2 linked regions of the Sus scrofa genome follow. The protein of the gene in region 2 interacts with the protein of the main gene of each other region in a biochemical or structural test. Links are inferred from orthologs where the notes say so. Each region holds a gene or a part of one and is shown on either strand. Other genes may lie near its edges.

The links.
Region 1: the proteins of SNTB1 (region 2) and ASNSD1 interact in a test that uses a peptide from one of them, tested with the Homo sapiens proteins (2 studies listed by IntAct, with this or other methods). The link is inferred for Sus scrofa from reciprocal best matches to the Homo sapiens genes SNTB1 and ASNSD1.

What each region holds. Positions count from the first base shown.
Region 1 is NC_010457.5:94,259,483-94,265,686, forward strand, and holds the start of ASNSD1 (asparagine synthetase domain-containing protein 1), read left to right. Parts: upstream 1-2,427; 5' UTR 2,428-2,787; intron 2,788-4,724; 5' UTR 4,725-4,778; intron 4,779-6,183; 5' UTR 6,184-6,204.
Region 2 is NC_010446.5:18,286,368-18,292,504, reverse strand, and holds the start of SNTB1 (beta-1-syntrophin), read right to left. Parts: upstream 3,750-6,137; 5' UTR 3,615-3,749; intron 3,451-3,614; 5' UTR 3,246-3,450; coding exon 2,666-3,245; intron 1-2,665. UniProt on the Homo sapiens protein: Adapter protein that binds to and probably organizes the subcellular localization of a variety of membrane proteins. May link various receptors to the actin cytoskeleton and the dystrophin glycoprotein complex.

The DNA.
Region 1 (6,204 bases), on a different chromosome or scaffold from region 2:
ACAAAATTCTTAATCAATTCGAGTTCATAAAGGACAAACAAAAATACTAAAAACCATACCTCCTCACACCAGTCAGCATGACCATCATTAATAACTCTATAAGTAACAAATTCTAGAGAGGATGTGGAGAAAAGGGAACCCTTCTATACTGTTGGTGGGAATGTAAATTGGCACAACCACTATGGAAAACAGTATGGAAATACCTCAGAAAACCAAATATAGAGGTACCATATGATCTGGCAATCCTACTCCTGGGCATATATCCAGACCAAACTATAATTTAAAAAGATACATGTACCCCTATGTTCATTGCAGCACTATTCACAATAGCCAAGACATGGAAACAACCTAAATGCCCATAGATAGATGAATATATTAACAAGATGTGGTACATATATACAATGGAATACTATTCGGCCATAAAAAGAACAAATCAATGCCATGTGCAGCAGCATGAATGCAACTAGAGATTCTCATACTAAGCAAAGTCAGAAAGAAAAAGACAAAACCATATGATTTAACTTATACATGGAATCTAAAATATGACACAAATGGGAGTTTCCATTGTGGCTCAGTGGGCTAGGAATTTGACTTGTATCCATGAGGATGCAGGTTCAATACCTGGCCTTGCTCAATGGGTTACAGATCTGGCATTGCTGTGAGCTGTGGTGTGGGTTGCAGACAAAGCTCAGATCTGGCATTGCTATGGCTGTGGCATAGGCTGGCAGCTGCAGCTCTAATTTGACCCCTCTCCTGGGAACTTCCATATGCCACAGGTGCAGCCCTAAAAAGCAATAAATAAATAAATAAATAAACAAAATATGGCACAAATGGGACTATCTACAAAACAGACTCACAGACATAGAGAACAGACTTGTGGTTGCCATGGGGGAGGGGGAGAGAGTGGGATGGATGGAGAGTTTGGAGTTAGTAGATGCAAGCTATTACATTTATAACAGATAAGCAAGGAGGACCTACTGTATAGCACAGGGAACTATATCCAGTCTCTTGGGACAGAACATAATGGAAGATAATACGAGAAAAAGAATGTATATATACATATGCCTGGGTCACTTTGCTGTACAGTAGAAACTGGCACAACATCTAAAATCAACTATACTTTAATATAAAAAAAGAAAAATACTAAAAACCTGGATTCTTTGTCATCTCATTTCTAAAAGAAATTAGATCTTCATCACCTAGCAGGTATCACCAAATGGTTAGGCCATAAAACCAAATTCCCAATCATTGCTATCCATGTGAAATAACTTAGCCATGCATCAATCAGAAACAAAAACAAAGTTTTAAAAATTCAGTAAAAAGTAAAAACAGACAGTAAACTTAGTTCTATAACCACTTTGGATTAACTGTAAGACAGTTAATATATTCCTGGGTTTAAACCACCCATGAAGTATGCTTTCTTGATCATAAAGTTTGGTTCTATTATATGAGTCCATTTGGGTGTCTCTGTAAAAACTTAAGATTTCCAAAATTAAAGTATAATTTTCAAAAACAGAAAGCCATGTTTCTTGTGCAAATATAAAATGAACATTTATCAGAGTTTTGTTAAATGAGGGAACACGAAGTTAAAACCAATTCAAAGAGTTTATGAGAAAGCAGACATATATTAATTTAAAAACACTGCAGAGTTAGATGCAAACTGGTTAATATCTTGCAGAATAAGTCACAACCTGTGGGGTTATCTGGCCCATCAGACAGAAATTATTTGCATTATCTGTCACACAAAAATCTACCAGTTAACCTCTGCCTTAGCAGAATTATAAAATAGCCTGGTCAGGAGTTCCCTTGTGGTACAGCAGAAACAAATATGACTGTTATCCATGAGGATGCAGTTCAATCCCTGGCCTCGCTCAGTGGATGGGGATCTGGGGTTGCCAGTGAGCTGTGGTGTTGATCCCAGACGCTGCTAGGATCTGGCATTGCTGTTGCTCCAGCTGACCCCCAGCCTAGGAACCTCCATATGCGTGGGTGCGGCCCCTAAAAAAAAAAAAGCCCAGTCAATAGAAAGTCAAAGCCAGAAAAGCTATGAAAGAAAACCTGGTAATCTCTTGCCAATTTTGGATGATTTTTCTCATAGGAGTAAGGTTGTGACTATTGCATGAGTATACCTATATTAAAAATTACTCATTTATCTGAAATTCATATTTAACTGTGAATCCAGTATTTATCTTTTAACCTTAGTAACAAGTTAACAAAAGCTTTATCAAGGCTGTACAGTTCTATTACCAACAACGTATCTCTTAAATCTGTGTATAGCTTCATATTCTTGCCTAGATAATAAATATTAAGTAGCATTTCGAATGCTCGTCTATTCTTCACATTTACCACTGGGAGGCGCCTGTAACTCACAGTCTACTGGATGCCGAATCGTAACGAGGCTATGAGAGTGTTTCAACTTCTTATCCGCTAGGGGGACAGTTCAGAAACCTCTCAGGTTTCACAACAAGGCTCTGCTCTCGTGCTTGCTAATAATCTGAGCGCACGCGCGCAACTGCTCCAAGGCCCGCTCGGACTGCGCAGGCGTTCCAGTGAGCGCGTGGAAGCCTTTGGTAGGACTCACCGGACGGAAAGGGAGGGGCTGGAGCCGCTGGGATAGCACACGCTCGGGGGGTGTAGGCTGCGCACTGCTGGGTCGCTGTCCGGGCCGCGCATCCAGGTATTTGATGCTCCGTGGAGATGCCTAGCCCGGGCGTTCAACACGAGGACGGCGCAGGGCTGGTCTCCACTGACAACTCGACCCCTCAAAAGGAAGATCTAAGCCGCAAGGTGAGTGTGGGGACGAGGTGACAAGGCCCCCAGGCGCGGGACAGGGTGCTATTCGTCCTCAGAGAAGATCCACTGTGGCCGTGTGGTCCGATTTCGGCTTTGCCGGACTGGGCTGCATTGACAGCTACAGTTAAAGGGAGATCGTGAAACTTGCCCCGAGATTAGTCCCAGATAGCAGTAGGGTGGAGGTTTAGTTGGGTGGTTTTGTTTTTTGGGTTTTTTAAACCCCAAATTTTTAAGTCATTTTAAAAGCCCTTATACAATAAAATTTACCTTTTTCCTTTTCTGTAAATCTAGCACATGTATAAATTTGTTTGACTACCACTATTGGGATACAGAACTGTTCCATTACCCCAAGAGACTCCCTTTATAGCCATGCTTTCCCCCACCTAGAAGCTCTGGCCGCAGCCTGATCTGCTGCCGATGACAGAACAGTTTTGTCCTTTAGGGAACATCATGTAGATGAAATCATAGCATATGTCATTCTAAGATTGGCTTCTCTCACACAGCATAATGTCTTTGAGATTTATGGTTGAGTTTTCTATATACTCTTTTTTTTTTTTTTTTTTGTCTTTTTGCCTTTTCTAGGGCCGCACAAGCGGCATATGGAGGTTCCCAGGCTAGGGGTCTAATTGGAGCTGTAGACACCGGCCTACACTACAGCCACAGCAATGGGATCCAAGCCTCCTCTGACTTACATCACAGCTCATGACAACACCAGATCCTTAACCCACTGAGCAAGGCCAGGGATCGAACCCACAACCTCATGGTTTCTAGTCGGATTCGTTAACCACTGCGCCACGACAGGAACTCCAGGTTTTCTACATACTGTTGAGCTTGGGGGCATGTTGAAGTTTGTTCCCAGGCCAGTGATCAAACCTGTGCTTCAGCAGCAACCCAGGCCACTCCAGTGATAACGCTGGATCTTTAACCTGCTGCACAAGGGAAGAAATACTGCCCACCCTAGAGCTGCTGCTGATATCCTGTGCCTCAGAAAATATCACCACCAACTATCCACCTGTCTGTGCCAGTAATCTGGGAGCCACCCCTTAAGTCCATTACAAAGTCCTATCAGGTTAACATTTAAGGCCCACTTCAAAGATGTCCCTTTATCACCATAGCTCACCACTTATACTGATGTGTGATATATCCCTGAGGTGTTTAAGGTCTGGCAAAGATCATACAGGATCTCCTTTTAGAGGCTTTAGTGATACTATGTAATCAGTCCTGTTCACAAAATAACTACCATTACTGATTGAACCTTCTCTTACTAATAAAAAGTGAGACCTAGTTCAACAGTGACAGCATCTGTGCTAGCTTTTGAGATACAGAGAGGAGTAAAGCAGAGAGGAAAAGTGATAGGTTGTACTGCCCCCCACCCCCAACCCCCCCGGTAGGGCATTTACTACTGCTTGCTTAGTCTGAATGTGTGGCCACACCATTTAGGACATAAGTCATGAAAAGCATTGGTATAGAGGGATGAGGTTGGGAGAAGTGACCCCACCCCACATTCCATTTGGTATTTTTCAAGAAAGTTAAAATACAACTTAAGTGAAATCATTGAAAAAAATGGTATTGCTTTTGGGTTTTGGTGCAATTATGTTTTTATTTCATATTGTCACTTTTAAATAAAAGGTATAAACCTTGTTTAGTAACTGTGGCTGTTCCCTGAATATGAATGCTGGTTGCCAATATCCTATCTGGGTCCAAGGGGCCATCTAACACCTGGCAAGTCTGATCACTCTTTCTTCCCCCAATTTTCCCACACTTGCACCACCACACACACTGTTGTTGAAAACAATCTATATATTCACCGACTGTCCATTTGGACAATCAGTACATTTTAGCCCCTTATCACATCTTTTTAATTTTAAAGGTCCCTCAGTGAGCATACTTTGCTAACTTCTGATTTAAGAAAATCTTCTTTATTTCAATAGATTAAAGAACAAAAAATTATTGTGGATGAACTTTCTAACCTAAAGAAGAACAGGGTAAGTTATTAGAATTATTCTGAACAGTATGCCAGAGGGTTTGATTATATCTCATTAGCTTATATAAAAGTTATAAGAACTATATATAAGATTTATGTCAAAATTTATAAGATTTCAGCATCTTTTTAGTTAAATTGCAAAAGTGAAAAGTGTATATGTATCATATATGGATGTCTATATATTAATCATAGTTGATGATATCTTTTCCCCATAATATGCAATTGACATTACCTTTGAACAAAGTGATACTAATTATTTTATCTTGGAGCTGTAATCACTAATAGTCTTTGTTTTATACTTGAATTTGGTGTTTTCTTTTGAAATGAACTTTATTTAAATATACTAAAAAGATAAGAAACTAGTCCTTTAAGTGAATGTAGATAATTAATTTTTTTTTAAAAAAGGATAAATGCTTCCTCTTCCCCTTCCCTGAGTTTTTTACAGAAAGCTTCCAAATCTTTTATTGTTGTTGTTTAACACCATTTCTATTAATGTATTTATAAACAATCAAGCTACTGCTTCATGTGTAGTTATACTTGCCAAAAATTATATTTTGAAGGTAAGGAAGAATGATTTGAACCCTTTAAAACATTTTAAAAATTATTTGGTAACTGACAGGTTAGACATTTCTGATATGGTCATTTGTGGAATATTAGAAGTTAGGGTACAATTCATACAAACTTTCTAGAGGGCAAGTTGGCAGAATGTACCAAAGTTTTAAAACTATGTAACACTTTGATACAGCAGTTCTATTGATAGGAATTGATACTTAGGAAAAAAAAAACTATGGGAGTGGAGTTCCCGTTGTGGCTCAGTGGTTAATGAATCCAATTAGGAACCATGGGGTTGCAGGTTCGATCCCTGGCCTTACTCAGTGGATTAAGGATTCAGTGTTGCCATGTGCTGTGGTGTGAGTCACAGACATGGCTCAGATCCCACGTTGCTATGGCTGTGGCGTAGGCCAGCGACAACAGCTCCGATTGGACCCCTAGCCTGGGAACCTCCATATGCCGTGGAAGCGGCCCCAGAAAAGGCAAAAAAAAAAAATTAAAACAAACAAACAAACAAAAAAACATGGGAGTGCATCACAACATTGATTTATAATGGTGAAAAATTGGTAACACCTGAAACTTGAGGACTGACCAAATAAATTGTAATATTACAAAAGAAAAATGGTGTAACAGTGGTGTTACAGTATACACAGAGAAAGAGTTTTACCTCAGTGTCCATGGTAGCAGTTTCTAGATAGTTGGATAATGGGTGACTTTTGTTTGTCCGTATTTGCTAAAGTATTGTTCTGAATATGTTAGTGAAGTCCAAGAATAAGCAATAATAGGGTTCAGAGTTTTGACATCTGCTACTTTTAAAATCAAATCATGATATTAGCCTAAATTATGTTTTGCAGAAAGTATATAGGCAGCAACAG
Region 2 (6,137 bases):
TAAATCCCCCCCCTTTTCTTAAATTCTTAGAGTGCTCTTCCATACCAAAGCCCCTTAAGTCAGCATTCCCTTATTCCTATTTTTCAGAAGACATCGAGGCTCTGGGAGGTTAAGATCCTTCTGTGGCCAAATCTAAGACTAGAACGCAGGCACAGAAATTTGCTGGGCAGGGTTTCACGTCACAAGATGTTCCATTATTAGAAGCAGTCATTCTCCACTAGGGGGCGCATGTCACGTAATGAGGGGTGTATTGTTAGCAATTGAGGGACTGAACTAGTCTCTATCCGCCCCTAAAATAACAAACCAACTAAAAAAAAGCAATCTAAGGGAAAAAAAAACAGCGTCTTTGCCCTATAAATGTATCTTTAATGCATCTCCTTTAATTCTCTCGTCCAACTGGATTGCATCTTCAAAGCCCTTCCTATGTAGAAATTCTGGAATCAAGATGGCATATCAGTGCAGGACCAAATAGATGTGTGATTTTAAAAAGCCTTTCCTGTGGTTCTGAAAAGCCCCTTTGGGCTGGGAATCCCTGCACTGGGCCAACCTACAAAAGAGAGGGTATTTGCAGGTGATTTGATGATATATGATCACTCCCAGCGCATTTAGAACCAATACTTCTCAGAAGAAGAGACACTGTTTTGAAGGGGGGAGGGGAGATCTACTGGTTTATCCTAATAGCAGTTGATTTCTGAAGACTTGGGCTGGAAATAAGACTGCAGCCCCAAGCCCATAGCTTCACATCTAGGAAACCCAGAGGTCTTCCCCTAGAGGTCCTGCCTGGAACACATAACAGTCCATTGTAAGGATGTTATGTTTAAGAGGTTTTAATGAAACTCACTTTTCAGTTGCTGCACCAATACCGTCAGATGATTGCTTGAAAAATTTTTTTTCTTTTGTCTAAGTTTACTTTCAACTGTAGGGAGTCACATTTTCTTCCTCTTTTGGGGTGAGAGAGTTGGTTAATTTTTTTAAACCCCTTTGCTAAGTCATTATTCATTAAATTGAAACTTAGAAGAAGGGACACAATGAGGGGCAGTGCCTGAAACAGAAATGACCTGCCTTTTGTGCCCCCTGATATTTTGCAGTAAATATTGCAAGCTGAGCAGGTGTCTAGCTGTGTATAGTCCAAACTACACTTGCTTCAGATCCCACCTGCCCCTTGTCACACAGGCCAACCCACACTTGAATCAAGAAAACTTTTTTCTGTTTACTATGTTAATCATCAAGCCAAAGCAAATAGCCTTCTACTTTCTGGATCCCAGGTGGCAATTAAATATGAAGACATCACAAATCCTCTAGACAAATAAGGGGGTAAAAAAAAAATCCCTTCTGTATTCTAGGCCAGGAGGTGGGCCATCACATACCACAGAATTGCATCAGCTGTTGCAGGGAACAGAGTCCCTTTCCCAACTTTGAACTTTCTGTTTCACACACCAGCATCTAAGCAGGAAACTGACTTAAGTTCTCAGTTTAGATCAACCACCACTTACAAGTCTCAGTTGAAACAGTCAGTTTCAATGGCCATGGGTTCATTTCTTCCTTGACTCAGCACATATGTCATGGAGTTCAAGGGAGATGACCCATAACCAAATATAGGACCCCCCAGACAACTCAATCCACATTGGCGGGAGGCTGAGTAAATAGATATTTACATGATGTTAGTGCTGCCAGAGGTGTGTACAAAGCTAGGTAAGGGGGCAGAGAGGCAGACAGCAAGTGAAAATGGCAGCTGTAGTGGAAAAGGAGAACGCATTACCCCTTACTCGCCTACTGCCCTTCTCCCTACACAACACCACACAGCCGCCAACGGGTACAAAAGGTGCTACTCATTCTATTCACATTTGGTAACTAGGGGAATGGACACATCAGATCTTAAGAGAGTAGTTTCTTAGACACCTCGCAGGCAAGGAAAACTGTTTACAAATGCAAAGTTGTTTCCACACCACAACTCTGAGGGGGGGGGGAAACACTGGGAAAATGCAGGCAGAAAAGCCACCTCACCAGCCCTCCGCCCAAAGCAACCTGGAATCCAGACTGACCGGCCAAACACCTGGCAGCATAAGTGAACTTTTGCATAAAGCTGCAACACACTCCCCAGCCGTTGGCACAACGCCCCAGCCAGAAGGCCAGTTTCCAGTTTGAAAGGGCAGTCGGGAAGGGTGGTGGGAGTTTTAGCACGCACACATTACCACCCCTCTCTGGCCCTTCTGAGCTTCGACCCTTTTAGCTGGGCTGCCCAGGCTTCAGAGAAGAAAACTGCCAAAGCAGAAAACTGTCAGAGTTGCGATTACTCAGTGAGCTGGCTTTGTAACGTGGACGTGCCCCCTTCATGGCCAGTTCTACTTGGGGCCCCTAAGCTACGCTTAGATTTGGCTCCCGTAAAACTGAGACTACGTGAACTACGCCTCCGACCCCGTGCTCTGCACAGAACACGAACTCAAGAAACCCTGCTCACCGAGACTTTGCCTACACCTCTGCTGGGTCAACGCCTCGCAGGTGGGGACAAGTGGCCCCCAAGTGGGTCAAAGTTGTCAAAACTCCGCCACCCGCGCCCGGCGGTCCCCTGGGGTGTGGCGGCACGTGGGTGGGTGTGAGGATGCGGCGGGAGGAGGCGGTTGGGGTGTGCGTATCCCAGGCAGCCCGCGCAGCGTTAACCCCTCACCTTCCAGCAGCACTTCCTTGCCAGCGCGCTTCAGCGCCTGCACCGCCTCGTCGTGGGTGGCGTCCCGCAGGTCGGCCCCGTTCACAGACAGGATGGCGTCGCCCACGTACAGGGCTTGGGTCTGGTCCGCCGCCAGCCCCTTGAAGATCTTGCTGATGAGGATGGGCATCTTGTTCTCCTTGCCCCCCTTGATGCTGATGCCCAGCCCGCCCAGCTCCTGCTTCAGCACCTTCACGCCGCGCTTCTGGTTAGAGATGGACTCGGGCACCTGCTCCGGCAGGTCGGTGAAGGCGGTGCGGACCCCGGCGGGAGAGTCCGGGGGCTGCGCGCCGCCTGCGCCTGGGTGCCCGGGGCCGGCGCCCCTGCAGAACGAGCCATTGGTGGCGGTCCCGATGCCGTTGTACGCCGCAGCGCCTTCCTCGCAGCTCAGAACCAGGGCGTCTTCGCTCAAGTTCACCAGAACTTTGTGCCAGCGATCCCGCACCAAAACTTCCAGCAGCCCGCTCCGCTGCGCCCGGCCGCCTCCCCCGCCGGCCGGCCCCGCTGCCACTGCCGCTGCCGCCGCCGCTGCTACCGCCATCTTTCCGGCATTCTTAAAATGCCGTGCGATTGCAAAAGGGGGGAAAAGTGGGGAAGGGTTGCTCGGGGAGCGAGGAGAGCGCGCCCGGCAGGGAGGAGGCGGGACGCGGGACTCCGCTCCGCGACTTCGCTGGAGCGCCCGGCGCGAGTTGGCAGCCGCAGTCGGCAGCTTCCCCCTGGCCTGATCCCGGGCGGGGTGGAGCTACCTAAAAGAAGAAGGAGAGACAGAAACAGTGGAGGGGGGCAGCCAGCTGCCAGTTGCAAAACCCCAAACCCAAGGGAAGCCGCGAAACAGCTAAGCGCGGGGGAGGTTCGGAGGGGGAGTCCCTCGCCGGGAAGGGCGGGGACCCAGCGCCTGGCGGCCGCTCACCTGTTCCAGCCGCCGCAGCCTCGGCGGTCACACGCCGCGCGTCCTCTCAGACCCTCCCCGCCTCCGTGCTCTGAGCGCACGTCGCCGCAGGGACAGCTTCCCTCCACCCCGCCCCCAGCCGTCTCTCGTCCACTCACCCTTCTCCCTCGGCGCCTATTCCGCACCCCGCACGGTCTGGGTGTCCTGCCTTGGTCCGCTCACTGGATGCTCTGAAGCCCCCTATCACACCCTCTGTCGAACGGTCTCTCCGCCCTAACCCCTAATTGGGTCTAGTCTCTTCACTCTGGCTTCCAAAAGCCAAGTCTTGGCTTCGGTTCTTACCTGTCTCTCCTTTCCGCAGAGGCTCTCAGGTGGGCTCAGACCAGACGGACAGCCTGGGTTCCCTGAAAGGCAAGAGGGAAGGTTGTCCCAGGAACCCAGGATGAAATGTCAGCATAACCCCAGTGCAGGGAAACTTCTCCTTAAATGCAGGACATCTTTTCTGCTAGGTCTCTGAAGAGGTGTCTCTATGGCTGCGGTTTTCAGCAGGTCACTGTTGGCCCCAGACCCCAGGGACAATTTTTCTTCCTGCCCTAGTACATTACATGCTCTCTGCTCCTGATCTATCCTCTCCCGCCCCAGCAATGCCACGCCAAATGCTTCCTGGGACTTTGTCTGTCTTCCCTGGGTCCAATAGAAAAAAGTCCACTATTTAAGAACTCGGTTGCAATGGATTGTTATCTCAGAAGTTCCTTTCTGAGTGACTTGGAACTCAAGCTGCTTTTTCCTGGGAAACGATATTATAAATTATTGGTTATCTTCCCAGGCCAATCCAGAAGTGCCAACACATGTCTTAGATGAATCTCCCAGAATCCTCCTGGTCCTGGAAACTCTCAGGGGTCCTCCACCCTATGCACATCTCAGGGAGCTCTGGAAGTGTTTCATTCATCTCATCTACCTTCCTTTCCACTTCTTTCTGTGCTTTCTTTGAAACCAAACCAAACCCAAATTCACAAATCAGAGAATTCCTAAAGGTAAATGCAACCCAGCAAGGTGTCAGGAGGAAAGAAATCTTATTGAACACATTGCCACTGAGCTGATGAACAGCATCATTGAAAGTTCTCTAACCCTTCTCAAATGACTCACATTTTTAATTGTGAATGTTTAAAAACACAGAGCAATTCCCAATCTCCAGAGCCTGGGTGGTTGGTATTCCAGGCAGGTGCCAGAAATGAAATGAAAACATTTGGATTTTTCTTTCTTTCTTTTTTTTTTTTTTTATAAGTCACTACAGGTAGGTCATGAGAAACTCTTAGGTTTATACTTCTACTTACAGAATCCTTATTGCCTATATTTCTAACCAGTGTTCCGGAAGCTCTTTATTCATTCAGGTAAAGGTACCCAGGGACAGCAGTACCAGGATCAGTCAAGGAGCTATGAGGGGTGGGACCACGGTATTGGGTGGTAAAACCAGCTGAGGCTGCCCTCTGCTTTAGAGACTAAGGACTTGCACACACACATCGCTCTGCAGGAAAATCAGAGCCTGAGTGTCTGTGTTCTAACCCAAAAGCACCGAGGTGGAGACAGGCACCGGAATGCCAGGGCGATGATTTAGAAATCAAAACATCTGCTCCTGGACTGAAATCGTCCATTCCCATTACACCTGTGTCTTGTCTCTGTGGTCAAGTGATGCTAGAGGCCCAGGCATAACCAGAAGTAATTTATCGATTTGCTGTAAGAAATTGCAAGCTCTGGGATGGGAATTTCTCAGAATCTCTGTGATAAGCACATTTTTTCCGGGTGAGCAAACCTACATGGGAAGGAGTAGGTTGCTTGCTGAAAGTGGCATCAGAGGAAGCGAAGGCAAATATTCAATATCATCAGGCCTGAGGCATGCATGTCAGCCAGAGATGGCTTTGCCAATGGAATTAAAATAACAACCCTTATTCTAAGTGCTTTACAGGTATTAACTTAATCCTCCCAGTTGTTCTTAGGGATACTTGCTATTATCATCACTCCTGTTTCACAGGTGGAAGAATGGGGGTACAGATTTAAAAACTTGCCCTGCTCATGTAGTGGATAAATGGCAGAGTCAGGAGTTCTCACTGTGGCTCTGTGGGTTATGAACCCAACTAGTATCCATGAAGATGTAGGTTTGCTCCCTGGCCTTACTCAGTGGGTCAGGGATCTGGCATTGCCATGAGCTGTGGTGTAGGTTGCAGATGTGGCTCAGATCTGGTGGTGGTGTGGATGTGGTGTAGGCCAGCAGCTGTAGCTCTGATTTGCCCTTAGCTTGGGAATTTTCATATGCTGCACCTGCAGCCCAAAAAGCAAAAATATATATATATATATATTTTAAAAAAGGCAGAGTCACGATATGAACCCAGGTAGAAAGAGTTTGGACTTTGAACCATCATCTCCTAAAAATGCTTAGAACGTGTTAGCTGTAGAGTTCACCTTGCACGGAAGCCAACCTTCCCATCCTTAGGGAGACAGGGAGGATTAAGACCCTTGCCCTAGATACCTGTAGAAAGGTTCGGCCCA